Linked DNA regions of Rattus norvegicus. Each later gene encodes a partner of the first gene's protein in a complex. Links are inferred from orthologs where the notes say so. Each region holds a gene or a part of one and is shown on either strand. Other genes may lie near its edges. The genes, in order: Lzts1 and Asb7.

Region 1 (12,325 bases):
ACTGTGGCCTGTTCTATGGCGTCTGAGGAGAACTCAGGTCCTAGGGAAATCTCTGGTCCAGCCTGGCTTTCCCTTGGACATCTCTCTTACCTGAGACACAGCCCAAGCTGGAGCCAGCGACGAGAGGATCAGCAAGTGTCTCTCAGAGGAGTGATGCCGATCCCCTGAAAACGTTATCATGCTAAAGTTCAAGTGTGCCGAGAGAGGACAAAATCGAGCAAGGAGGTACCCCGTGGGAGTCTGACACTACAAGGCCCTTCCTTGAGGTGATGCTAGCTGCCGTTCTTCCTTCAGAGAGCAGCCACAGTCTGGAACCAGACACCTCTGGAAAGCAGTGTGGAGCTGAGAGACGAGGTGTGGCAGACTACTTGTCTGCCCTGAACCTGCACACCTGAGGCCCTGTTCAGTCACTGTTCCATCTAGCCGTCCAACATGGGCATGGGCCACAAACAGTGAGGATGCTTTAGGACAGGAGAGGAAAGAAAGCCCACACGAAGGCAAGGTTATTAGGTTACAGCACAGTTGCGTCTTGGAGCTACCTTGGGACCTCAGGCTGACAGCAGTCTTGGGAAGGCATCTGCCATCTTAAAGGGTAAGCAGTCCCCAGGCAGAGGTCTCAACGATGACCTCGGCAGGACTACTGGGCAGAACCCCTGTGAACAGAAGGCACCCTGCACAGAGAGAGCACAGGTCTGCCCAGGCCTAGTGTCTGCTTCTGGGCAAGGACTCCATAGCATAGCACTGGACTTCTGGACTTCTCTCAGAGGAAGGAGTCCTTCAATCTAGAGAGAGGCAGGAAACCCCCATCTTTCTTTCTGTCTGTTGGACAGTCTCAATGGGAAGGACTCAGACAAGGCACAGACTGGTACACAACTGAGAACTGAGGGCTATGGACTCTTTAAACTGGGCTGTGACCTGTGTTCAGTGGAGTGTACGACCGTGCAAGTTGGGGGAGTCGTCTTTGGCCTGTAGATTCCAGATTTAAGTGAGCATGTGACTCTGGGCAGTGGTAGACCAGAGAATAGTGTGCTGTTGAAAGTCAGTAGTAGGAGAGGGCCAATCTAACCGCAGGGACAGAAAGTAGTACCACGTACAGGGGAGGCACCTAGCCTGCAGATACAAGGAAGGGAAGAAAGCCCACGGGAAGACAAGGTCACTAGGGCTGGGATCCACCTTAAGGACCAGCATTAGGGAGGTAGAACTCAGGTTGGTTCCTGGACTACCAAGCACACAGACCCTCCCTTACATCTCCAATATCCTGGGTCCCGCCCACCAGGCAAACACATGGCTCAGGAATCCAGCAAGGGCTGGGTGTCCTACCAACAACAGCTGTGGTAAGGGCCAAAAATAGAATATGGAGCAGCTTGGCTGCCTGCTTGATCTGGCTTGCTTTGGAAAACACAGAATGGAAGTGGGAAGGAGAGAGAAGATAATTCCTTCAACCCAGCAACTGCACTTCCCTCTGCCCCTAGATCTGGCTATCTTCAAAAGACAAGGCCAGGCTCCCACAAGCTCACATGCTGCTTTCTAGACTGAATTCTTACAGCCTGGGGTGCTGCCACACGGAGGGAGGAAAGTGGGTGGTTTGGGATATTTATAAGGCTCTTTTTATGCACCCTGTATCTCTCCTGCCTGGACGGCAGCCTATCAGCACACTGACAATGCTATAAGGGAAAGAGAAGCTGCTGACTTGGGCCACAGACAAGGGAGGCTAATGTCCAGCTCCCATGCACACTATCTAAGTGGATGGGCTATTTTGGATCTGAGCCAGCGTCTAGTGTTCTGGAAAGAAAAAACATTCAATATTGGAGGCTGAGGAGGATCCCCTGGCACAGCTGAGAATCTATGTCTCATGTCAGTTCCCTGTACCCCACCTGGGACCCCCAATGTCTATGGCTTTAAACAGAGTGACCACTGAGGTCAAAGGGGCTATGCAGCTCATTTTAGACTCCACTCCCCATCTGCCTTGGTTCTCTCCTTTCAACTCCCACCGGACCTCTTGAGACCTGCAAAGGTTCCGTAATGGCGGACTGTCCATCTACCCCTTCCTCCCATGACTTGCTGGCTCAACTACGTGGCGACACAACCCCTCCACCACCACAGTCAGAGCAGAACAGGCTGTAGTGAAGACGAGGTCCAAGGCTTCTGGTTACACATGGCTTCTTTCTATTCCCAAAGGCATCCCAAGATGCCCAGGGGATGGTGGGGGTTTAGGGACAACAGGGAAAATGTTTCTGTCCTTGGGTGGCCATTTGGCCTGTATGGCAGTTGCCCCCTTTCCTGATGGGGTGTCTTTCTCACTACTTTGAATGAGACCAAAGTCAAGAGAAACCTCAACCAGCACATAAAGCTCCCTGAGCATACCTCTAGGAGAGCTTGGGGTTCGCAGATCAAGGTCTTATAAGCAGCAGGGTTAGTTAGGCTGAGAAAGGCAGGAGGGGAGGAAAGGCTATGTGGTAACCCCTACCCACCACTGGGGACTCCTGAATCTGGATCCCAGAGGTGGCTTCTCTCAGAGGGGCTCTTGGGACAGGCTCAGTCCTCCCTGCTTTCTGGGGTCTAGTCCCCAGCCCTCCATCCCCGAGGTAGCCCCTCAGATCTCAGTGGCTATGATATCCTCATAGGGAATGTCAGCTCCCTCCAGGTCAATTTCAAAGGGCTCCCCTGCAATATCCCCACGGGCCAGCTGCTGCAGGGCCTTCTCTAGACGCTGGTTGCGCTGGTACATGGCCAAGTAGCTCTGTTGCAGCTGCTTTTGGTACTGGATCACTTTCTCCTTCTCTTCCTTCCACACCAACCGCTCATGCTGGAATCCCGAGGACATCTGGTCATGGCCTTGCCTCTCCTCCTTCAGCTCAGCCCGCAGCCGATCCAGCTCCCGCTGCAGAGCAGGGATGTCCTCTGAGAAAGTCAGCCCAATCCCTGGAGGGCCCAGGGGTGCTGCATCTCGATGCAGGGCCGCCTGGGCCCGCAGCTCCAGCAGCTCCTGTTCTAAAAGGTTCACCTTCTCTCTCAGCAGCTCTGCCTCATTCTTCTTGCGCTGCAGTTCATTCTCACAGACCTCCAGCTCTAGCCCCTTGGTGCGCAAGGCGCTCTCCAAGTCCTGTGTCTTCAACTCCATTCCCTCAAGCTTGCCCCGGGTGTCCTTCAGCTGTGCCTTCAGGCTAAGGATCTCACTGGCCTTAGCATTCACCTCCATTTGGGATTCTTTGAGCTGTTGCTTCAGAAGAGAGATCTCACCTGACTTCTGGCACACCTGCCAAGGGTGGGGTGAGAAAGGGTGAGAATCAGTGCCAGAAGTGATTGGCATTATCCTAACTGAGATGACATCACCACTTCCTAAAGGGTTCAGGCTACTCCTGACAAGACACCTCAAACAGTTCTTTTGCATGTAAACAATCTATGCATTTCCAAGTGTCTACCTCATCTCCAGTTCAGGTTCTACACTCCAGTCTGTGCTCATACCCAAGGTTATATGCAACTCAACAATCACCTGCTTACTCTAGCCAATGCTCCGAGCTCTATCACCTACCTTTAACACCAGGGATACTGGCTTCAGGGAGCCAACACCCAATCCTCACCACTGCATTCATCTCTGGGGGAAGGACCATTTCACCTTGTCCTGCTATACCCCCAAAGCTAGCCATACAACCTGGCCCACACATGTCCTGTATCCATCTGCCAAACAATGAACTGCAGTCTTCCTCCCTTTCTGGCTTCTCCGCCATTTGAACACCCATTGGCCATCAAAGTTGGGCCAAGAGCACATTTGAGTCAGATCACCGTGTCTCTGGGGCCTTGGTACTTTGAGGTCATAAGCATTAGTTGGGGTCATGATATGGTTAGGAGTGGCAGTACACGCCAGCCTATCCATATCAAGGCTGTCTCAGGTACTTCCTCCCACTTCTGACTAAAAAAGAAAGAAAGCATAAAAGAAAAAGTTTTTTTAAAAAGTACACGCTTAGTATATGCATGAAGCCTTGGGTTTGATCCCCACCATAAATCAAAAGAGAGGAGGAGGAGGAAGAGGAAGAAGAGGAAGAGGAGGAGGAGAGGAGGAGGAAGGAGGAGGAGGAAGAAGAGGAGGAGGAAGAGGAAGAAGAGGAAGAGGAGGAGGAAGGAGGAGGAGGAAGAAGAGGAGGAGGAAGAGGAGGAGGAGGAAGAGGAAGAAGAGGAAGAAGAGGAAGAGGAGGAGGAAGAGGAAGAGGAGGAAAGGAAGAGGAAGAAGAGGAGGAGGAAGAGGAAGAGGAGGAGGAAGAGGAGGAGGAGGAGGAAAGACCAGGGCCTTGGCACTACACAATGGACCCTTAGCATAAAACCCTGTATTTCTCCTTTATTTCCTCTCCCAGTAAAGTTCCCCCTTTACTTCTAATGTAGAGGAGAACACTTAGCCTCACCACCATGCATAGCTAGAGCCCAGAACTTTTTGACACGGCCAAGTACAGACCTTGAATGTCTCTCAAAGCGCAGATGTTAAAGTTTTTCAGTGTGTTAACCCTGAGAGTGAGGGGTAGTGGAACCTCTAAGACGTTAGGCATGGTAGAAAGTGTTTAGGTCAATGGCTCTTGAAGGGGACTGTCAGACTCTGGACCCTTATTTGTTTTCACCTTGCTTCCTGGCCATGAGGTGACACTTGCATGGCCACATGCTCCCATGTGATATGTTACTTCATCACAGGCCCAAAGCAGCAGGGTCTGTTAGACAATTTGATCATGAAGTGAACCCTCTAATTTTGTGAGGCAGAATAAGCTCTTGCTGTAAACTGCATATCTTGTGCATTTTGTTACAACGACCAAACAAAGACAACTTGAGTAACACACCAAGCCTACATTAGTTTGATAGAGGGAGTTAGGACAGAGTCACATTAAAGCACAGGCTTTGAATCCAGATCGAATCGCTTATGAACCAAGCAACACAGGCACACATTGACATGGAGACAGCAAGCAGTTACAAATGTGAACTCTGGGATGGGGATGGTAAAATGGCTCGTGAGACAAACATATTTGTCTCCAACCCTGATGAATTCTATCCCTGAGACCCACGTGGTGGAAAGTAAGAACCAACTTTGTAACGTTGACCTCTGACCTCCACATTTGGGCTGTAGCAAGCATATGCCCCCTCCCCCAATAAATAATAACAATGTGAACGCCTGATCCATGTGCTTGCAGTTGACTCTTAGAATCTATCGTTTATCAGATGCTAGCCAAGTCACTTCACCAGCGACCACAGATAATCCGTGTGTCAGTTTCTTTAAAGACGACAGGAGCCGGATGTAGATCGCTCCTGAGAGACACAGCCAGAATACAGCAAATACAGAGGCGAATACCAGCAGCAAACCACTGAACTGAGAATAGGACCCCCGTTGAAGGAATCAGAGAAAGAACTGGAAGAGCTTGAAGGGGCTCGAGACCCCATATGTACAACAATGCCAAGCAACCAGAGCTTCCAGGGACTAAGCCACTACCTAAAGACTATACATGGACTGACCCTGGACTCTGACCTCATAGGTAGCAATGAATATCCTAGTAAGAGCACCAGTGGAAGGGGAAGCCCTGGGTCCTGCTAAGACTGAACCCCCAGTGAACTAGACTGTTGGGGGGAGGGGGACAATGGGGGGAGGGTGGGGAGGGGAACACCGATAAGAAAGGGGAGGGGGGAGGGGGATGTTTGCCCGGAAACTGGGAAAGGGAATAACACTCGAAATGTATATAAGAAATACTCAAGTTAATAAAAAAAAAAAAAGATAAAAAAAAAAAGATGAATTGAAAAACTGTAACACTCCTACGTCTCAATATGGTTATAAGGATTAGATAGAAGAACATAGCATTTTCTAAAGTCTCTAAGCTAAACGGGTTTATAACAATATTTCTGTGAGGATGTATAACTCTTTCCTTATTGTTGTTTTGCTAAGTATACTGATTAGCCAAGGTGGGAACAAGATCATGGCAGTCCGTGGCTTAGTTTCAGACAGGGCCATGAGGATGAACGACAAAAGCCAACACTCACTACTTGTCTCTGAAATACACAAAGGTTCTTTTCTTCACCTGTCTTGTGACTACTTGTCATGGCACAGGGTGAGGACAGGAAGCTCTGAGCAGTCAGGGCTGTGGTGCTCACAGTAAGCCAAATGCCATCCAGACCTGATGCTAATCGATATAAATAGAACGATTGTCATCTTTCCCTACGGAGAAGTCTCTGGAGTGAATGACAGCAGCACTAATGAACACATACCTGGGCCATGGGAGTGTGAGTGTGTGTGTGTGTGTGTGTGTGTGTGTGTGTGTGTGCACACGCATGCTACTCAGGGAAAAAAGGCTGCTGTCCTACTAGCAGGGTACATATGAGACCCTGACTGCTCTCCAGCTAGGCCAGACTCACATGACTCATTCCAAAGTGACTGAAGGAAATACATCAGCGATGGCGTGCTTTTCTAGAACATGGGAGGTCCTAGGCCTAACCCCTAGTACCAAACAAAACAAAACAATAAAACCTGTCCCCAAAGAATGACTGTGTGTTTGTCCTTTTTCTTCCTCCCCTGTGTTTAAATCTCAGCCAACCAAGTAGAATTTCCACTTATGCCTCAGCAAGGAAGGGCAATTCCATCACTGAGACCTACCACTAATGATATAGTTAGGACTCTTTCCCCCAAAGCATCAAATAGGCCTAATCCTTCTCCCAGGTCCTCAGATCAGACAAACACAGGCGTTTCTCATAAGTGAGGTCAGCCCTTAGGCAGCCTGGCTGAGCCTCCCTTGTCTGGGTTTGGCTTTCCTACCAAAGACGGGGCTACTGAGGGCCATGAGATGATGAGATGATGGAATGAGCAAGAAACACAGATCTGACTCAGAGCATCCCCACACTATCCACTCAGCATTCTCTTCCTTGGTCATAAAGCTGTCTCTCTAGCGGCATTGGCCTGAGGCACTTCGTGTTGATACTGCCTTGCCAGCAAGGATGGGGAGGATATCAGTAAAGCCGTGGCAGGGTGGCGGGACTTTACCTCCCATTGGGTCGGACTAGTGGGGTCTTACCTCCCATTGGGTCTCCTCCAGTGCAGGGGCGAAGTTGGTTTTCTCCCGCTCGTAGGACCTCAGCTTGGTCTCCAGCAGGTCCTGCTCCTTCATTAGGCTCTCTAGCTCCTGCCTCAGCTGCCGTTTCTCCTGCTGCAACTGTAACACCTGCAGCTGGAGTACCTGCTGGGTGCGCTGGCTCTTCTGGGAGGCTGGCTTCAGCTTGCTCTTAGGTTCCAGGCACTCCAGTTCGTCTCTAGTCCGCCGTGGCCGCTCCTCGAAGGTCTGGCCAGAGGCAAACTCCTTCTCATCGAAACTGCGCTGTAGCTTCTGTAGTGCAGTCTCCCGCTGCAGCAGCTTCTGCTCCAGCTCCTGAATGGTGCACTCATCCGTGGAGAGTGGGGAACGCACACAGGAGGAGCCCTTTTCTACCTTGCCTGGGTGAGCCAGCTTGCTGCCCCCATCAGAGAATGACAGAGCCTTCAGGCTCATCATATTACTGTCCTGAAGGATGATGCCTTGTGTGATGTTGTGAGCTGAACCCCCAAAACGGCTAGTAGGCCCCACGGGGGTGACCAGAGGATCCAGCTGGTAGCTGCTGGTGGTGCTATGCGTGGGCAGGCTAGACATGGAGTTCCGGCCCGAGTCAGACAGTGCCCCTGAGCACAGGCCTGGCTTCAGCTCCTGTTCCTTGGGCTTATCTGGAGGCATGGGATGAAGCTGGTGGTTGGTACTCTCAGGTGAAGAGTGGAGAATGGCTCCTGACCGTGGCAACACAGGCTTGAAGGCAGTGGGCCTCACCGCCGCCTTGTCTGAACTCTGGGGAAGCAAAGGACCACACAGATTTGAGCGTCTCTTCCACACCCACCCACTTTTCTCACTGTGGGTGCACTCTCACGAGCCTACCTGAGCATGGAGCCCGAGTGAAACCCTTCTTGGTTGATAGCAAACCTTGTCAGTTGCTCTGGACTGGCTGAGAATAGACCAAGTTTCTGTGTACATGTGAGTATGGGTGTATATACATGTGTGTGTATACACATGCCACAGAATACACATGGGGATGAGAACAACTTACAGGAGTCCTCTCCTTCCACCATGTGGAGTCAGGTCGCCCGTCTTTCCTGCTTGGCGGCAAGCCCTCGACTGCTGAGCCGTTTCACCGACCTCACTACGCCATTCTTCGAAAGGCTGTGAGGGAGCTGGAGGCAGTGGTGCAGAGTACTAGCTGCTCTCCCAGAGGACCGAGGTGTTATTCTCCACACTCACGTGGTGGCACACAACCATTTTGTAACTCCCGTTCCAGGGGATCTGACACACTCTTCTGGCACACACGCATACATGCAGGCAAAACACTCATAAAATAAAAGTAAACAAATCGTTTTAAGAAGAAGGAGGAGGAGGAGGGGGAGGAGGAAGAGGAGGAGGAGATGATGGTGACAGTGACAAAACTCTTAAGGCTGGACATAATGGCACACCCCCTTACGGGCATGTAACTTGAGAGGCAGAGGTAGGTAGATTTCTGTGAGTTCCATGCCACCTTGGTCTATATCATGAGTTCCAGGAAGCCAGGGCTACGTAGTGAGACCCTGTCTCAAATACACACACACACACACACACACACACACACACACACACACACACACACACACCCTCTGTACCTAAGAAAGCCTTCAGTGGTGGCCGAGGCACTGTGTTAGTAACCATCACTGCCATCTGGACCCAGCCCTCTAGGGAGGTTAGATGGGGACTCAGGTACAGTGCAGCAAGGACAGCAGACTGTATATGCTCATCACTTTCTTGCACTCTGCCTCTTCTACTGAGCCTAGGTCAAGGCTATAAACCGCTAACTGCTTCTAGTTCAGACGATTTGGAATAGCAACCCCGAAACTTGCAATTTCCCTCAGTAGACAACCGTGCCTTCACAAGGCCTTTGTTTAGAGAACTTTGCACAAACACAGGCACCTTTCTTATTCTAGGTTGAGCATTCCTGGTCCTAAAAATCTCAGATCTGAAACTCTGCAGAATCCGCAAGTGTTTGAGTCCAGACAAGATGCTAAGAGTGGAAAAATCCACATATTAGAGGATTTTGTTTTGTGCATAAATTATTTAAAACATTGTATAATCATTGTCTGCCTTTGTGAGTCAGGTATACACAAAGCATAAATGATTGTTGTTATTAGAGATCTCATTATGCCTGTGCAAATATTTTATAATCTAAAAGACAACAACTCTGAGACCTCTGGCACTCCCGTTCCCAAGCATTTCCGGTAAGTGGTGTTTAACCTGTGCTTTAAAGCCATTGACTTTGCCCCGGAGTGAGCATGGAGACTGAATGGGAGAACTGTTTCCAACGTGCAGTAGCAGCGAGGCTTCAGAGCCCTGAACTGTTGGAGGAGCTAGATTTCTGAACACTGGGAGCATCCTTTGTGGGCATCCTTCCTCATTTCATAGGAACGAAACCCTGGAACCCTTCTCTAGCCAAGGGGACTAGAAACCACAGGTAGGGCACGGGAAAATGCGTACTTCCGCAAGGCTCCCAGAGAGCACCCTCATCTTCCTGTCCAGTCTTCCAGGCGAAAACAGAGCCTCTCTTCCTCCATGGCCTGTGAACTTGCTGGCCTTTGGCCTACCTGAACCATGCCTGTTATGTCCCAGTAGAGCTCAGAAAGGCTTGAACTTCCCCTCTGCCCTTTGCTGCAGGATAAACCTAAGATTTCCGGTTTAGGGATAGACTTTTGACTGCTGCAGTGAGGTCAAATACTTCTGCTCTCACCAGTGCTGATCAGGCCTCTTGGAGATCAAGACACTTGGGCATCAGGGTATTCAACCCTACTGCCTCTCCTCCTGTTGTAACTCCCCTCCCCTTTTCTACCCAAGTACCTTTGTCAAGAGCCTCACCATTTCCAGTTGACTGGAGAAGGGCATGAGCTTTGGTGGAGTGGCTGGATCAAAATCTACTCCAGTCTGGCCCCCCATGTCCCCACTGGACAGTGCTGTGTAGTCTGGGCGATGGGAGCCTCGGGCCTTCTGGCTGACTTTGATGTAGAAGAAGTCTTCGCTTTTCCCCATTTTGGAGCTGGACTTGCCACGGCCCGAGTCCTGGGAGAAGCCAAACCTCAGAAGCCCATCTGAGTACCGGTTGAGCTTCTTGAGGTGGGAGGATTTGCGCAGTTTGTACTGGGAAGCACGACAGTGCTTGCTGTGGAGACTGTGGCCTGAGATAAGGCTGCTCACACTGCCCATGGTGACGAGGAACCAAGGGCCTGCAGGGCACAAGAGGGGCCTGGAGACAGCAGCGAAATGTAGTCCTGGCTCAGCCAGGGGACTGTGGTCAGAGCAAAAGCTTCTCAGAGCCCGAGAGAGCCATGGACCTGGGAAGAGACACAGAGAGAGTCATAGATCTAGGCATGGCACTGTCACTGTGATGATTTCAGGAGTGCTATGCCTGTCATGAAACCTGGGTGGTAACGAGGTGTACGTCAAATGCTAGCCCTGCCTCTTCTATGAGTCTATTATCATTCTGATGACCTAGGCACATGTACTGTGCATACAGTGGAAACCGGGATATTACATATGATTGTGGGACTCATTTGTAGTGTTATATGGATAGACAGCCCAAACCTATTCTACAGGACCCATTTAACCCATGTTAAGGGGTCAGGATGCTTAAGGGGAGAGCTTGAGAAGGGAGGACACAGTTTTGTATACCCAGGAAGTGCCAGAGTTTAGATGCACCCCTCAGTATTTAAATATTAGAAACTCAATCTCCAATGCCACATGGTTGTGGTATTTGGGAATGTGATTTGAACTCCCTGGGATTAGGTGAAATCTTGATGCTGGGGGCCTAAAGATGACATTAGTGGCTCTGTAAGGGAAAGGAACTCCAGGCGTGATAGCACAGAACTATTAATCCCAGCACTTGAAAGGTAGAGACAGGAGAATGGAGAGTTCAGGCCTAACCTGTGTGTCAAATTAAAGATGTGGGAAGAACCTAGGCCTCATCATAGTAAGAATCTGTCTTCAGTTGTGTTCGCAGCCTTTGCTGCACTGCCGCCGCTCGTTAATGCCAGTGCCGCCTCTCACTTGTTGAACTCCAGTCGAGGAAGGGGGGTAAGTAAGGAGGTGCTCATACCATGGCTCATACAGAGCAGACTGCCCGCAAATCCACTGGTGGTAAGGCAACCAGGAAAGAACTGGCACAAAAGCACCTCGTAAGAAGGTGCCCTCTACTGGAGGGGTGAAGAAACCTCATCATTATAGGCCTGGTACTGTGGCACTCCATGAAATCCGACGCCATCAGAAATCTACTGAACTTCTAATTTGCAGGCTCCCTTTCAGCGTCTGGTTCCAGAAATTGCTCAGGACTTAAACAGACCTGCCCTTCCACAGTGTGGCTATTGGTGCCTTGCAGGAGGCAAGTGAGGCCTATGTGGTTGGCCTTTTGAAGATAGCACCTGTGTGCTATCCATGCCAAACATGTACCAATTATGCCAAAAGAAATCTAGCTAGCACGCCGCATACTCGGAGAACGTGCTTAAGAGTCCACTATGAGGGGAAACATTTCATTCTCAAAAAAAATTTTTCCCTCTTCTTCCTGTTATCAGTAGTTCTGAATGTTAGATATTTTTTCCATGGGGTCAAAGGTACCTAAGTCCATGACTGCGAGTGGAAACCTAGGGGACAGAATCAGGGATCGGTACTTTCTCCATGTTCACTTGTGTGTGGATTTTTAACATAAATGCAAGATGTAAGGCACTAATGCAAGCAAAATGTTTCAGTGAACACACTTCAACAGTTCATCTTTATGACAATTATAAATAAACCTGGTAAAAATTTCTGGACAATGCCAGCATTTGGATTTTTTAAAAATAAGTAAATTTCTTATTGTCGACAACTAAATGGTGTTCGTAGCATTTTATCAGACAGTAGATTCCATTCATTCATTAGACTTTTCTAACAGCGTTGTCCTACATGCAAGTACACGTTTTTAATGGTGTCTGTGTTCCTGTAAGTTTGCTATTAAAACACATTAACCTGTCTTCTTAGAAAAGGAGAAAAGGAATGAGGAGGAGGGGGAGCAGGAGCACAGGAGCAGGAAAGAGACACAACTGGACCCTTGCTCTATCTGGAATGTGCACCCTGTATATCCCACCCTGGGGGGGAAACCTCAAAAAACACCCCTCTTGACAGCAAGAAAGATTTGATCAAATGTGAATGCTCTACCCTTCTTGAACTTTTTAGGCTTCAGACTGTGAGCTGAATATGTCTATATGCTTTATAAATGATCCTGTTCATGGCTCTCTGTCATAGCAACA
Region 2 (12,325 bases), on another chromosome or scaffold:
GAGATTATAAAGGACAACCGAGAGACTGCCTAACGGGCAAATCTATAACGTTTGTTATCACATAAAATGTTACTAATTTATTTTAGTATCTCAAATGGTTTTTGGAACTTTAGTACAAAGAATATTCAAAATGGTAGGCTTTTTATTCCTTTATATTTCCTGTCTTTTGCATGTTTGTACACACACACACACACACACACACACACACACACACACACACACATACACACACAAGTCCCTTTGATTCTACTGGTCCTTAAGACATAAAGATAATTTTTAAGGGGCTCTGAGGGCTTGCACATTTTTAAGACTTGAAACTACACACCAAAGAAGGAGTATGCTATGAATGGAACTTTAAAATAGTACGTATTAGCTCTTCTTTCTTCTTCTTTTTTAAATTTCTGGTGCTTTAAGACAGGGTTTCTCTGTGTACAGAAACTCTTTGTAGACCAGGATAGCCTTGAACTCAGATCTGCCTGCCTCTGCCTCCTCAGTGCTGGGATCAAAGGCCTGCGCCACTATGCCTTACTGTATGTAATTGCTATACTTTCTAGCCTGAGGAATGGGGACCCTGAGGCAGGAAGATGGAGAATTTGAAGCCAACCTGGGCTGGCTACAGAGGAAGACACAGTTTTAAAAAACAAAATGAAAAGAAAAGAAAAAAACTCCTAATATTCACCAGTGACAGTACTATGGAGGAAAAAAAATATATATATATATAATTTTATATATCAAGGCAAAATCTCAAGTTGAAGAGTGGTTGTTATTATTTAAATACAGAACTCAGGGCTAGAGAGGTGACTCAGTGGTTAAATATGGAACTCAGCAATATGATGCCTTCTGGTTACTGTATAACTTTTTAAAAATTGGTAATAAAATATTTGGATTGTATTTCAGAGATAGAATGCAGTATATATCTTGTATCTTCTTGGTGGGGTAGAGAGTATTTTTCTGCTTTAGAGTGAACCTAATTTGCTAGTGTTCCTAAGTGAGGGCTCTTTTTACCTGAGGTTGTAAATGAGGATCGCTAGTCAGACTTGTAAAGACAGAACATTGCTCTGTCTTGGTTCCCAGCCAGGTTATTGTTGCCGTTTAAGTCAGAGTACATGGATCTGCTCAGCTGACAGCGGGTTTCCTAAGATAGCGAGAGATGTATGCCCACCCCCCACCCCCCCACCCCCAGAGAGAGGCGGAGTGGGGAAGTTGTAATAATTAACATAGTTGAGAATGTTATTTAACATTTAACGTTTTCTTTAGTTTTTACATTTACTTAATCAGGACCAGCTCAATAGTTTGTATTTCTATATCTGGGAGGGCGTTTACCTGATTATTTAGTAACCAAAACCAAATTCATATCACAAAGGGAGAATAATTGGTGCTAGTCAGTGCTAGCTAGGTCTTTAGTATATTATGACTACTTCTGTCCTTTATACTGAAAATGATGTGTGATTCAGTTAGTTATATGTGTACATTGTATATAAGCTAAATATATAATGTCTTATTTTGTTCCTGTGTGTTTATACACGTGCACAGACTTGAGTATGTATGTGCAGTCTTTAGTGTGTCAACATCTAGCCTTAGTAATACCATTCTTGAGATGGGTAAATAGAGTCAGATACAGTTTGCCTATCTGAAACCTGACCTTCTGTCTTTTCATTTTCACCTCAATACATTCCCTCAATGTAATGTTCTTGGAAACTTCTGAGGCACTAGTCTGAGGCTGCTAACTTTGACTTGGCATGCCTGCGTTAACAGGACATTATTGACAAAGCTTTTCTAATACCTGTGGTTTAAGCTTGGAGTTGGGGCTACATAAATGATTCTAAACTTTTCTTGGTCACTTCACCTCACCTCAACTCATCTCACCTCATCCACATTTTGGGAAAATCACTAGGTTTTCTGCTAGAATTTATGTGATTCATAGTTTTACATGATAATAAATTTTTGTGTCACATAGAGGTCCAGTCATTTGGAGGAAATATGATATCCTTCCTTAGGGACATGGACACTATGGTATGTTGGGTGATACTAAAATAATACCCTCCTTATTTAGGGTGTAAGGCTCTTGATTGTGTAAGTGGAGCCCAGCAGGCCTGTTGGCCATGTTATATATTGTGATTGGGCACTGTATTTTTCTGTATCTGGGTTCGCTCTGGGGGCTTGTGAGCCATTGGTAAATTTTTAGTTTTTTTTTTTTCTTCGGAGGAAATGTCTTCAAAGTTGCGATTTTCTTTTCCTTTCCTGGTCTCCTCTGCAAACAAATGCTCTTGTCTTGAGCCAGGAATCGTTTCCTTGTTTCTTGTGGAACCGTTACCTTGTTTCTTGTGGAACCGTTACCTTTTTTCTTGTTGGTTTGAGACCAGGAAACAATTCTCCTTTGTGTTACTTGGGAAAAGTTGCAGAATTAGGCAGCAAGCCTGCAATCTTAACACTTGGGAGGCTGAGGCAGGAGGATCTCTGGTTGCCCGCCAGTTTGCACTGCTTCAAAGGCCCAACGAAACAAAACCTACAGGGAAGAAAATAATATACAGAAGTCAATAATAGCTAGTCTTGTGCTAAAGGAAATTGAAAAGAGGTCAGACTTGTTGAAGGTTATGTATTCTTGGGCAAATTTTAAGCATACCTTCATTTATGGGTACCTTCAGTCTATTATCTCAATATAGTTTTTTTTTAAACTATATTAAGGAAATTTGGGGCATAACTGAATAGATTTCATTTGAAAAGAAATTAGGCAATGCTATCCAATGTGGTCAAGTGTATTTTGGAGACCTTGGTTGTTATCTTTTGACTTTAGTACAGTGGAGAAAATAATTTGGCAAAATGTAAGCATTGTATTAAGAACTAAGACCACTTAAGAAAACGAGACACATTTGGGAAATGAGTCATTTTTACACCTCTAAAGTCTTCCATCTTTGTTTATTATTTACTTTTTTTCTGACTAAAACCCAGAATGTAATTTCTAGTGGGTCTGGTATCAGTAATTGCTAGATTCTCCACCCATCATTAATTTAAGAGAACTTTCCATCGATTGTGTATTGTTTAGGACATTTCTCCTTTGTCAAGAGTCCTGGTTTTTGAACTTGCATTCCCTGCAGGAAACCAGGCTCTTTCTTTCCCATCAGTGGCTTTTCTTGTTTTTTTCTTAATAGGTATCTTGGCTGCTGAGGTTGTGTTTGTCCTTAAGGACCATGGTGCCTTTTTTCCTCTTTATTTTATATGTCTCTAAGTGACACCAAGAGGAAAGTCACTTCTAGTCTGATACCTTGGACTTTGGGGCATTTTAATCATTGCCCTGTATAATTTACAATGGTGCAGACAACAGAGATTAAGTGTATAGGGCATACACATGTGTGTTTCCTCAATGATGCTGTTGTAGCACATGCATGCAAGGAGTGACTGTGCACTTAAAAAAAATCTATGATTATCTATAAGTCCTTGGTATTATCAGAAGAGGAAAAAAAATCCTAAAATATCTCATATCCTTAAAAGTGTCATTTTTAAGAAGCTGTCAGAGAAATGTCTTTCTCTTGCAGAGGACCTAGTTCAGTTCTCAGCACCCACAGGGTTACACACAACTGTCTGTAACTCCAGTACCAGAGGATCCGAAACCTTCTTCTGGTGTCCTCTAGCACCACACTCATGTGTGCACCTACTTAAAATGTAGGCACTCAGATATAAACAAAATTTTTTTTTAAAAAATTAGAAATATTTTTAAATGTTATTTTAAATGTACAAGACTGTCTTCTAGGAAGCTGTGAGCTGTGCTGCGCACACATTAGGCACTTAGGGGCTATCTCCTTGTTCTATTAAAGTCACTTACGGGGGAACTGTTACATTATTACCTTTCTTGCATTGGAGAATTAATTTGATCCTTTTATCTCTTAACACACTGCCTAGTACAAGTATTAGTACATACTGTTTCATGCTTCCTTCAGTCCCACCTCTCGTGTCTCCTCTCTGTCATGCCCAGCAGTCTCTGTGGAAGTGGTGATAGGCATTTGGAGACCACTGGAAGTCTGCAAGGACTCTTAATGGCTTGAAGCCACATTGGGACATTTTCATGACCCTAGGGAGGCAGAGAATACTGAAGACACACTTAGAAGTAAGGTGTTTGATTTGGTTTTCATTTTTAGAAACTAAATTTGTTTTTGACAACTTCATACCTGTATATTTTGTCTTCTGTTTAACTCTTACTGCCCTCCCTGCTCCTGCCTGCCAGGTTCTTCCCCACAATGGTTTTACCCAGGATGGTCTGTGTGACCCCAGCCAGGAACCTGGTGGGCTTAGTGCTGGGTACCACATGATGCTGTTTACTCTTGCATGTAGACGCATGCCATTATGGAGAGAAGTGATCAGTGGTCTCTGGTCCTTGAGAGCTCTGAAGTTGGCTCCTTTGTGCCTGTGGCTGTGGCTTTCTTTGAGCACTTCCTTGCCTTCAGGCACTATAAGATGCTCCAGGTTCATGCTGTAGACTTCCTGCCTCAGTCTTAGTTTCTGCAAGGTTTCTTCTGTGGTATTTATACTTGGCTTTGAAGGAGTTGTTCTGACCGTGTCTACTCCATTTATTTGAAAATAATAGGCACAGTTTGCACTCAGACTTCAGTTCTGTGTGCAGGCCAACATCTTTGCCTATCTTAAAGGCTTCAGAAAGGGGAAAATAAAACATCAAGTGCAGAAAAGGCAGATGGGAACCATTCTAATGTCCCCTTGCACAGCCATCAGCCCCTGTTGCCCCTCTTGCCCTGCACAGGTCAGCTCATCAGATGGCCTGTCCATTTCCATGTCTGAACCTTTAACTTCTAAAGGCTCGGCCCCCCACCTCCAGAAAGGGTGTCGGATCTCCCAGTAGGTTAATTGCTAGAGTGATTTCCTTGTGATATTGTGGGGTTTTTATTGTTTTGTTCTTTAAGAATTCAGTAGAGAAGGTAGTAAAACCTCTGGCTAGTTAATGTTTTAACTAGCTTGTTGTGTGTAAGTAAATGTTTTTACTGGGTGCCTGGAAGGCATAGGAAGAGCCACCATTCAAAGGCATAAGCCCCATTTACTCACCTACTTTACACTTGGCCCCTGGCAGCTGCTGTGTTGAATGCACACATTTTTTTCCCCTTTTAGTTCTCTTTAAAAAGAGCAGGTGACTGATGGTATCCTTAAAAAGTAAAGGAAGCAGGCCTGAGAGATATTCTCAGCAGAAAAGACAAGATTCTTAGCTTGTAGCCAAATTCCAAATGTGGGATTTGTTATTTTCTTTATTTACTGTTTTTTAAGAAGCTTGGGGTGGGGGCAGCACAGACTCTTAAATAAATCATACTTGATTGTGTCTAGAGATTGTTGTAAGCAACAAGATCATGTGCTCCAAAACCTTCTCTGAGTTCTTCTGTCAGTTTGTTGTAAACTCCTGAAACATAAAGTCATCAGAAAGTATAATCAGAGAGTAGACTGCAGACAGCGGTGCTTTCTCTCTTACTTTAGGAAAGCCCATGATTGTGATTGGTTTGTTTGTAGGTGAAGAAGACTACTCCCCTGAGGCCGGGGTACACTGGGAACCCTTCCTACCATGCTGCATGCACGCCATGGTTATTAGACAACCTGTCCACCGAGAGAAGAGACATTCTTCTATAAGGTAAGATGACCCAGGATCATCAGCCTCCTAGGCTATTTTGAGGAAAATCCTGTTTAACTTTTATTTTTCTTCTTGAAATCTGTTAATGAGTTGGTTGGGGCTATAGCTTAGTAATAGAGTGCATTTAGCAGGCTTCAGGCTCTGAGTTCAGTCCCTAGTCTAATAGAATAGACTTGCACAGAAAAGAATGGGCAAAATAGTGATTTAAAGAATAAACTAATGTAGCAGGCACTGAAAGAAAAACCTAGGTTTCTTTTGATGTTGTTTCAGTCTTTTTCCTATAGAGGAGACCTCTCTAGGTGCCAAGATAATTTTCTATTAAACACACCTGTGGGGCCTGGGAAAGGCTTAGTGGGTAAAGTGCTTTAGCACAGGCATGAAGATTGAGTTTAGATCCCCATCTACTCAGGGAAAAGTCAGGAATGAAAACTTCCATGGGATTCCATGGGATATACACTTGTCACCCCAGCACCAGAGTGCAGTGACAAGGAGGATCATAACGGCTTATCTAGCCTGTCTAGCAGAAATGGTAAAGCCGAGGTTCAGTGAGGGACTCTCTCTAAAAGAGTAAGGGAGAGCTATAGAGGAGGGCGCCTTAGTGTATCTCCACACTTACACTATCCACAGAACTCACTCTGAGCCAACATGGCGACATGTACCTGTGACTCAACACTTGGTAGCTAGAGATGGGAGGATCAAGAGCTCAAGGCCAACCTAGGCTACATAGGAAGTTGGGAGGCCAGGCAGAGCTAAATAAGACTGACTCAAAAAGAATAGTAAAATAAATCAGAGCTTCAGAAGCGTTCTGCTAAAGATGATGGTCTGAGTGGACAGGAAGGGGTTCCATTAATGTGTGCTGGTAAGTTTTGTTATAGTCTCTTATAGCACTGAAACTAACATGAAACCCATTCTGAAAGGTATTTTTTTTATGTTAAATTTCTAAGCCAAGAGACTGAATTTCAAGGAAGTAATTAAGTGAAGAATCAAAAGGAAACTTGCTTATTAAGAGAACAAATTATCAAGAAATTTCTCATTTTCCAATTTTCTCTGAGGAAACAGCTATTTGAGGTAATAGCTTGATATTTTTAAATTATATCACTGGGCGATATCGCTGAGACTATAGTGATGTCATTATTATATGTAAAAGCACATCAGATGTTTGTGTTCCCAGCCTGTTTTGGCTCCACCAAGCTAGGCTTACTTTTCTTGTGTTCTCTAGTTCATGATGAGAAATTTTGTAAGAAAAAGTATTAGTTGCAAAATTATCCTTGGATGTCTAACCTACATATGAGAACAGAATATCTTCAAAGGACTTTATCACTTTTTTTTTCTTTCAAGCAAATTTACTTATAGAAATGGAGGTTACCAACCAGGAGATTCGTCTAATTGCTTCTGACAAAGCAGCCCATTTGGAATGTCTTCCTAAGATCTTGTCAGTCTGGCTTTCTCTGTCTATCTCAAATGCTTCAAAGTATGCAGACAGGCTTGTACCCCCACATGAGAAGTAGCCATGTTACTTTGGGCTTCCCTGTGTGCATGGACAAGCTTCTTGTCTGCTGGGTTTGAGGACACACTTCTCCATGACCTGCAGAAGATGTGGGGTCCTTAGCATTAGTGTTCATTGACGTAATTTCATCATGTGGTCAATCCACAGGTTGCTTAGCATGCTATTTTGAGTATTTATGAAATAAAACTTCTGGTACTGAAATTAGAAAAAAATGTTTTAAAAGAATATGACAGGGAAGAGAAGACAAACATCGTGATCAGGTAGCCGAGGTAGGAAAACTGAGAAACACACGCACATGTGTGAATATAATCTATTTTATCCAGTTCCTTCGCTCAGCTGCTACCCCCCAGGCTTTATTACCTTGTATTAAAAATAAGATGCTGATGTGGATTGGGTCAGAGACTTGGCCTAGAGACAGCCCCTCCTTTTCAGTTCCTCCTCCAGGCTTTAATGGGCTGTTTTTTGCTATTCCATATTTATTGACTCAGACTGTGATAAAATCCTTGAGTAGTTTGTAACTTCCGTCGGGGTGGTGCATCGTGTAAGTCAGACTTCCTAAGACTGGTCCTACTGCAGCCATCTTAGCGTCCTGAGACCACCGTCCACTTTACCAGGAGAGAGCTGTCGTGACCAATGGAGTTTCAAGTTTTCAAAAAGACTGCAGAAAAGATTTTTCTGTTAAGTGGGTGTTTTCTGCCCCGCTTTCTCTTTCAATTAATTTATAGCCTTAATGCAGCTATGGGAAATTTAGGTCTAAGCAGATGCCTGCTAGCCAGTCTTGTTGAGCTGCTCTCCATGTCTATACTGATTTAGGGAGCGAATAGTTGTGTGGTGGTCAGTGAGCACAGTGTGAAGAGAGACAGATTCTAAATTGCATGTGCTCTCCCTTCCCGAAAGGCTGCCTCCCGTGACCTAATGTCTGGTTGGTGAAAAGCAGACTCTGCTAGGATGTTACACCACCACTGCCGGAGGAACCCTGAGCTCCAGGAAGAATTGCAGATTCAGGCTGCAGTGGCGGCCGGGGATGTTCACACAGTACGAAAGATGTTGGAACAAGGCTATTCCCCAAATGGCCGAGATGCCAATGGCTGGACCTTGCTCCATTTCTCTGCAGCAAGAGGAAAGGAGAGGTGTGTTCGAGTGTTTCTGGAACACGGAGGTGAGTTCACTGGATGCGAGGAGAAAATTGTAATGGCGTTTGTGGAAAACGCACTTGTGCACGTTTGTTTGCACGTGGATTTTAATGGTTCGCTTGCATTGCTGTTCAGTGTCTTATCTGCTCCTCTTTGCAAAGATGTTTGACAACAAAACACTAAGTTTTTTGAGTTGTTGAGTGGGTTTTACTCTGGCACATGTAGTTTCTGCAGATTGTCAGGCAACCCCAGGTTACTTCAACTGAGAGCCCTTATTGGGGCCAGTTGCCCTTGGGTGTCAGAAGCAGAAGTAGTTGTGGTGTCTGCCGTGGGGGAGCTGCCCAGGTTTCCCTTTTTGGAAATTGCTTAAGCAGAGGAGCCTAGCATAGGTCCCTTTAAACATTTTTGACTTTTCCTATCCTTCATACCTTCCTTAACCTTTCCTTCTTACTTCCTTTTCTTCTTGTTGTTCTTTTGGATATCCTGACTTTTCTAGAACTTACAGTGTGTCTACATATGCAAAAAGGCTGCTCTTATCTGAGCTCTGATTCTGTAGACAGACTTGGTTGGTGACCGCATTTGCCATTTTATGTGTCTGCTTCAGAAAACTAGACATTTCTATAAGACTTTGACACTAATCTTCTCAATTGACTCCTCTCGCCAGTGAATTTCAATTTCATTCTTGCCCTGAAGATGGGAGGGGGATTGTGCGTGTTCCTATGAGGTGTGTGTGTGTGTGTGTGTGTGTGTGTGTAGATATCACTTCTGTCTACATTGTAGTAGGGTGTAGAACAGCTTGTCTGGGCCACTCTAGGCCCTGGATTGCTCATCAGCAGTTATTTGTTTCATTCTAGGAGTGTACTTTGCTACAAGACTTGCTTGCCTTCTAAAGTACAGAAGGCGTTAGCAGTTCCACAGCCCTCAGAAAGGCTGTGTGAGTTATGGGACTGTATGAATGCTAAGGCTACCATCAGAGTCTGACTCCAAGATAAGGCTAAATCCAAGCCCAAGAGTAATCATGTGTCCCAGTGGCCTCAAATAGGACTAATGTGCCCTAAGACATTAGCTATAGACAGAGTCCAGACACATGAGTATTATCACCTTAAAACAAAGCACATCTTTAGATAAGTTTCCGACCGACATCAAATCCCATTGGACCTGCACAGGTCTTGCCTGCCCCTACTCAGAATGGTCCCTGGGCCTGAGTGACCCTGGGTGCTTAGTCCTCTGGATACTTCTAGCACACTTGTAGAAATTGTGCTTCATGTAGTTTTTAGTCTACATATGACACAACTGTTCTGCCACAGCTGTTTTTCACTCAACTTTATGACGTATTTTTGTCCTATCAGTTGTAGTGTGTGAGCAGTCATAGAAAACATGTCACAGCTGTGGCTATGCTCCAGTCTGACGTCTATGTATATGTTAGTGAGTGATAAGGGAGAGGGACAGTCCACGGCAGGGTCACAGTTGACTTACGGGCTACAGGTCCTAAGCAGCGCTCTCTCCCCCACCCCGTGATGATCATTTACATCCTAAAGGGCAGAAGGCGGCTGTGTGGCAGACTGTGTATCTAGCCTGCGTGAAGCCTAAGGTTCAAGCCTTAAAACTTTTAAGAAAAGTGTGTGCGTGCCTGTGTGTGTGTGTGTGTGTGTGTGCGTGTGTGTGTGTGTCTGTATGTCTATGTGTGTGTGTATGTGTGTGTGTGTGTCTGTGTGTGTGTGTGTGTGTGTGTGTGTGTGTGTATGCGTACATGCACTCAGTGAACTCTGCCATTCCTGAGTCCACACTGCACAATTTCGTGCATTTGTAGAGTTGGGTGCCCAGTCCCACAGTTAGTATCTAAAGTAATCGTTACTACTACAGAAAGCAACCTCAGTGAGTTTTGTTAGAAATACGTTCAGTCTTACCCTGTTATCTTCAGTAGAGTAGCTGCTCAAATAAATATGTTACCATTTGGATATTCTTTCAACTTTGTTCATTTTAGTATTTTAGAAAGCATAAAATTTTCTCAGCAGACTTTTGAGAAGGTGGTTCATAATCTACCTGCTTAAAACCCAGAGTAAATATTCTATTGTCAGTGCCTGGAGGTGGCCACTAGCTGTTCTTCAGTACCAGATTCTCCTTCCAGAAACTGGCTTTTGTTGACTTTTGTGCACCGAGGCCTAAGTGGTTTCTAGCCCTTCTTTCTAGCCGGCCCACTACTCTGTTTAATGTTATGTCAGTGTCCTGACTTCTGTCACCTAACAGCTTCCTTGAGATAATTCCTTATCAGGACATAGTTAAGCCTGAGATTCTACTTGTTGGGTGCAATTGATTTGCACTTAGCTTCCATTGTGAGGCATTTGAAATTGTTGGCATTTTTTTGCTAGGGCCAGTATAGCAGGGAGAGTCCTTGACTGGTCTTTCTTAAAAAAAAAAAAAAAAAAGCAACAACAAAAGCCCACCCTTGTCAGAGTTTCTCCCTTAACCCCTAGAAGCACTGCCAAGTCAGACCGCACTTATGGATGCCTATACATTGTCCTCCAAGACCTACAGTTCCTTCTTGTGCCCTCCTGGGACTGGGTGGGACAATGCCCCCCCCCTTCTCAGCAGGGTATTGCTAGCTGGCTGGCTCGTCCTTGTGTGATGTGCTTGCCCCTCCCAAGATGACATCCGAATATCAAACTGTGGCAAGTCTGAGCCTGTCCTTGTCTTCCTCCCTTGTTCAGGTGAGGCTTGCTCCGGTGCCTACCTTTGTTAGCTCCGGGTGGAAACCTTTCTTCTAGCTTGTAGCGTTCCCACGTTCCTCCTATTGCTCTCACCATACACTGGACACATTCTATCTTGCTTTTGCCTTCTGGTTTGTGTCTGTTGGATCTCGGTTAGTAAACACTTCATGGTGTAGGGTCATTACTCACCTGCATCTTCTTCTCAAGATTTTGTGGTACTTGAATCATCGGTCTGTCCAGAATTGGTGTTCGTGCATGAGAATGTACAATATCATTGCTCTTCCCCACAAAGGTTGCCCAAACTTCCCTTCTTTCCTCATGGCTGGGCACTGCTGGGTCACATACACAGCTTTTACATTGTGCTTCCACCTCCGAGTTCTCATTCAGTGCTGCAGGACCAGTGTGGTGCTGTTTGTGTTGTTCTGTGAGAACATTACCCTACTGAAACGAGATTCGGAGAATGCGCCTCCTCATCCCTCTCACGGCAAATTGTAAAGCAAGTTTGGAAAGGTTAAGTAAGAAGGAAACTCCTGCCATGGTCGTCACTGTCAGGCTGAGGCGTCAGTGCATAGCACATCCTCCACGTAATATCCAGGCACATCTGCCAGTGGCCCTGCAGTCTACGAGTGCCGCGCAGGAGTCTCCGGACGGTGTACCCACTTTTGTCCTCTCCTGAGATGTGGCCTATTGCTTGAGCTTCTGCATTCTTCCTCTCTTGGTAGCTTTCTGTCTCTTCTCTTCTTCTTTTTCCCACTCCTTGGGGGGAAACCTCTTTCCTCACCAAGTCTGGATTGATCTTCTTCACATTATATTGCCCTGTCCCCACCTGGTCTCTAAATAATGTGACACTTCTAAGTAGAAATGGAAATTAAATCCAGTAGGGACTTCTTATTTCTCTGCAAAGAATATTCTCAGTCTGTCACATACTCAGCACAGCAGCTGGTCCTTTGAGCCCTGCAGCCACAACTCTATGCAGCAGCCCCTCTCCCTTCTTGGTTGGGCTGTCTGAGCTTAGAAGCTTAACCCCAGAGGTCATCGTAAAGCCCCTTCCGTCGTGGTCCACTTTTCCTTGCATATGACTGCTTCCCCTTTAAGTCTTTGGCACTTTCTCAGAGAAACCACCTGCTTCCGCTAGAGCAGGTCAGGTGAGAACTTTATTTTCGTTCCTGTTAGATGCTGCTGCTGGGTCCTGTATGATGCTCTCCCCCCGTGTAATATTGTTCCCTGGACCTTAGTGCAGTGCCAGCCATAAGCATGGGGAGGGATTTTAGCATCCTGTTCAGCGTCTGTAGCTCCTGTTCACATGAAGTTCCCCGAAGGAAGAACCATGGCCATGATTGCTCCTAGTGAGGAAGAG

Evidence for each region.
Region 2: the proteins of Lzts1 (region 1) and Asb7 are in contact, whole or in part, in a crystal structure (PDB 8Y1U), measured with the Homo sapiens proteins. The link is inferred for Rattus norvegicus from reciprocal best matches to the Homo sapiens genes LZTS1 and ASB7. Residues at the interface, in NP_001349813.1 of Homo sapiens: Arg346, Glu348, Leu349, Leu352, Met353, Glu355, Gln356, Leu358, Leu359, Glu360, Lys362, Leu363, Arg364, Ser365, Tyr366; in NP_937886.1 of Homo sapiens: Asn46, Trp48, Ala56, Ile79, Phe82, Tyr87, Met90, His91, Asp116, Trp118, Val123, His126, Tyr127, Ser147, Lys149, Thr151, Gln155, Leu156, Ile159, Arg160, Phe182, Arg185, Tyr186, Ile189, Lys190, Arg210, Leu220, Leu223.

The regions. Positions count from the first base shown.
Region 1 is NC_086034.1:25,352,368-25,364,692, reverse strand, and holds part of Lzts1 (leucine zipper putative tumor suppressor 1), read right to left. Parts: intron 10,382-12,325; 5' UTR 10,254-10,381; coding exon 9,909-10,253; intron 7,830-9,908; coding exon 7,032-7,829; intron 3,257-7,031; coding exon 2,594-3,256; 3' UTR 1-2,593. UniProt on the Homo sapiens protein: Involved in the regulation of cell growth. May stabilize the active CDC2-cyclin B1 complex and thereby contribute to the regulation of the cell cycle and the prevention of uncontrolled cell proliferation. May act as a tumor suppressor.
Region 2 is NC_086019.1:129,663,479-129,675,803, reverse strand, and holds part of Asb7 (ankyrin repeat and SOCS box protein 7), read left to right. Parts: intron 1-5,502; 5' UTR 5,503-5,620; intron 5,621-6,564; exon of another isoform or gene 6,565-6,688; intron 6,689-8,024; 5' UTR 8,025-8,075; coding exon 8,076-8,286; intron 8,287-12,325. UniProt on the Homo sapiens protein: Probable substrate-recognition component of a SCF-like ECS (Elongin-Cullin-SOCS-box protein) E3 ubiquitin-protein ligase complex which mediates the ubiquitination and subsequent proteasomal degradation of target proteins.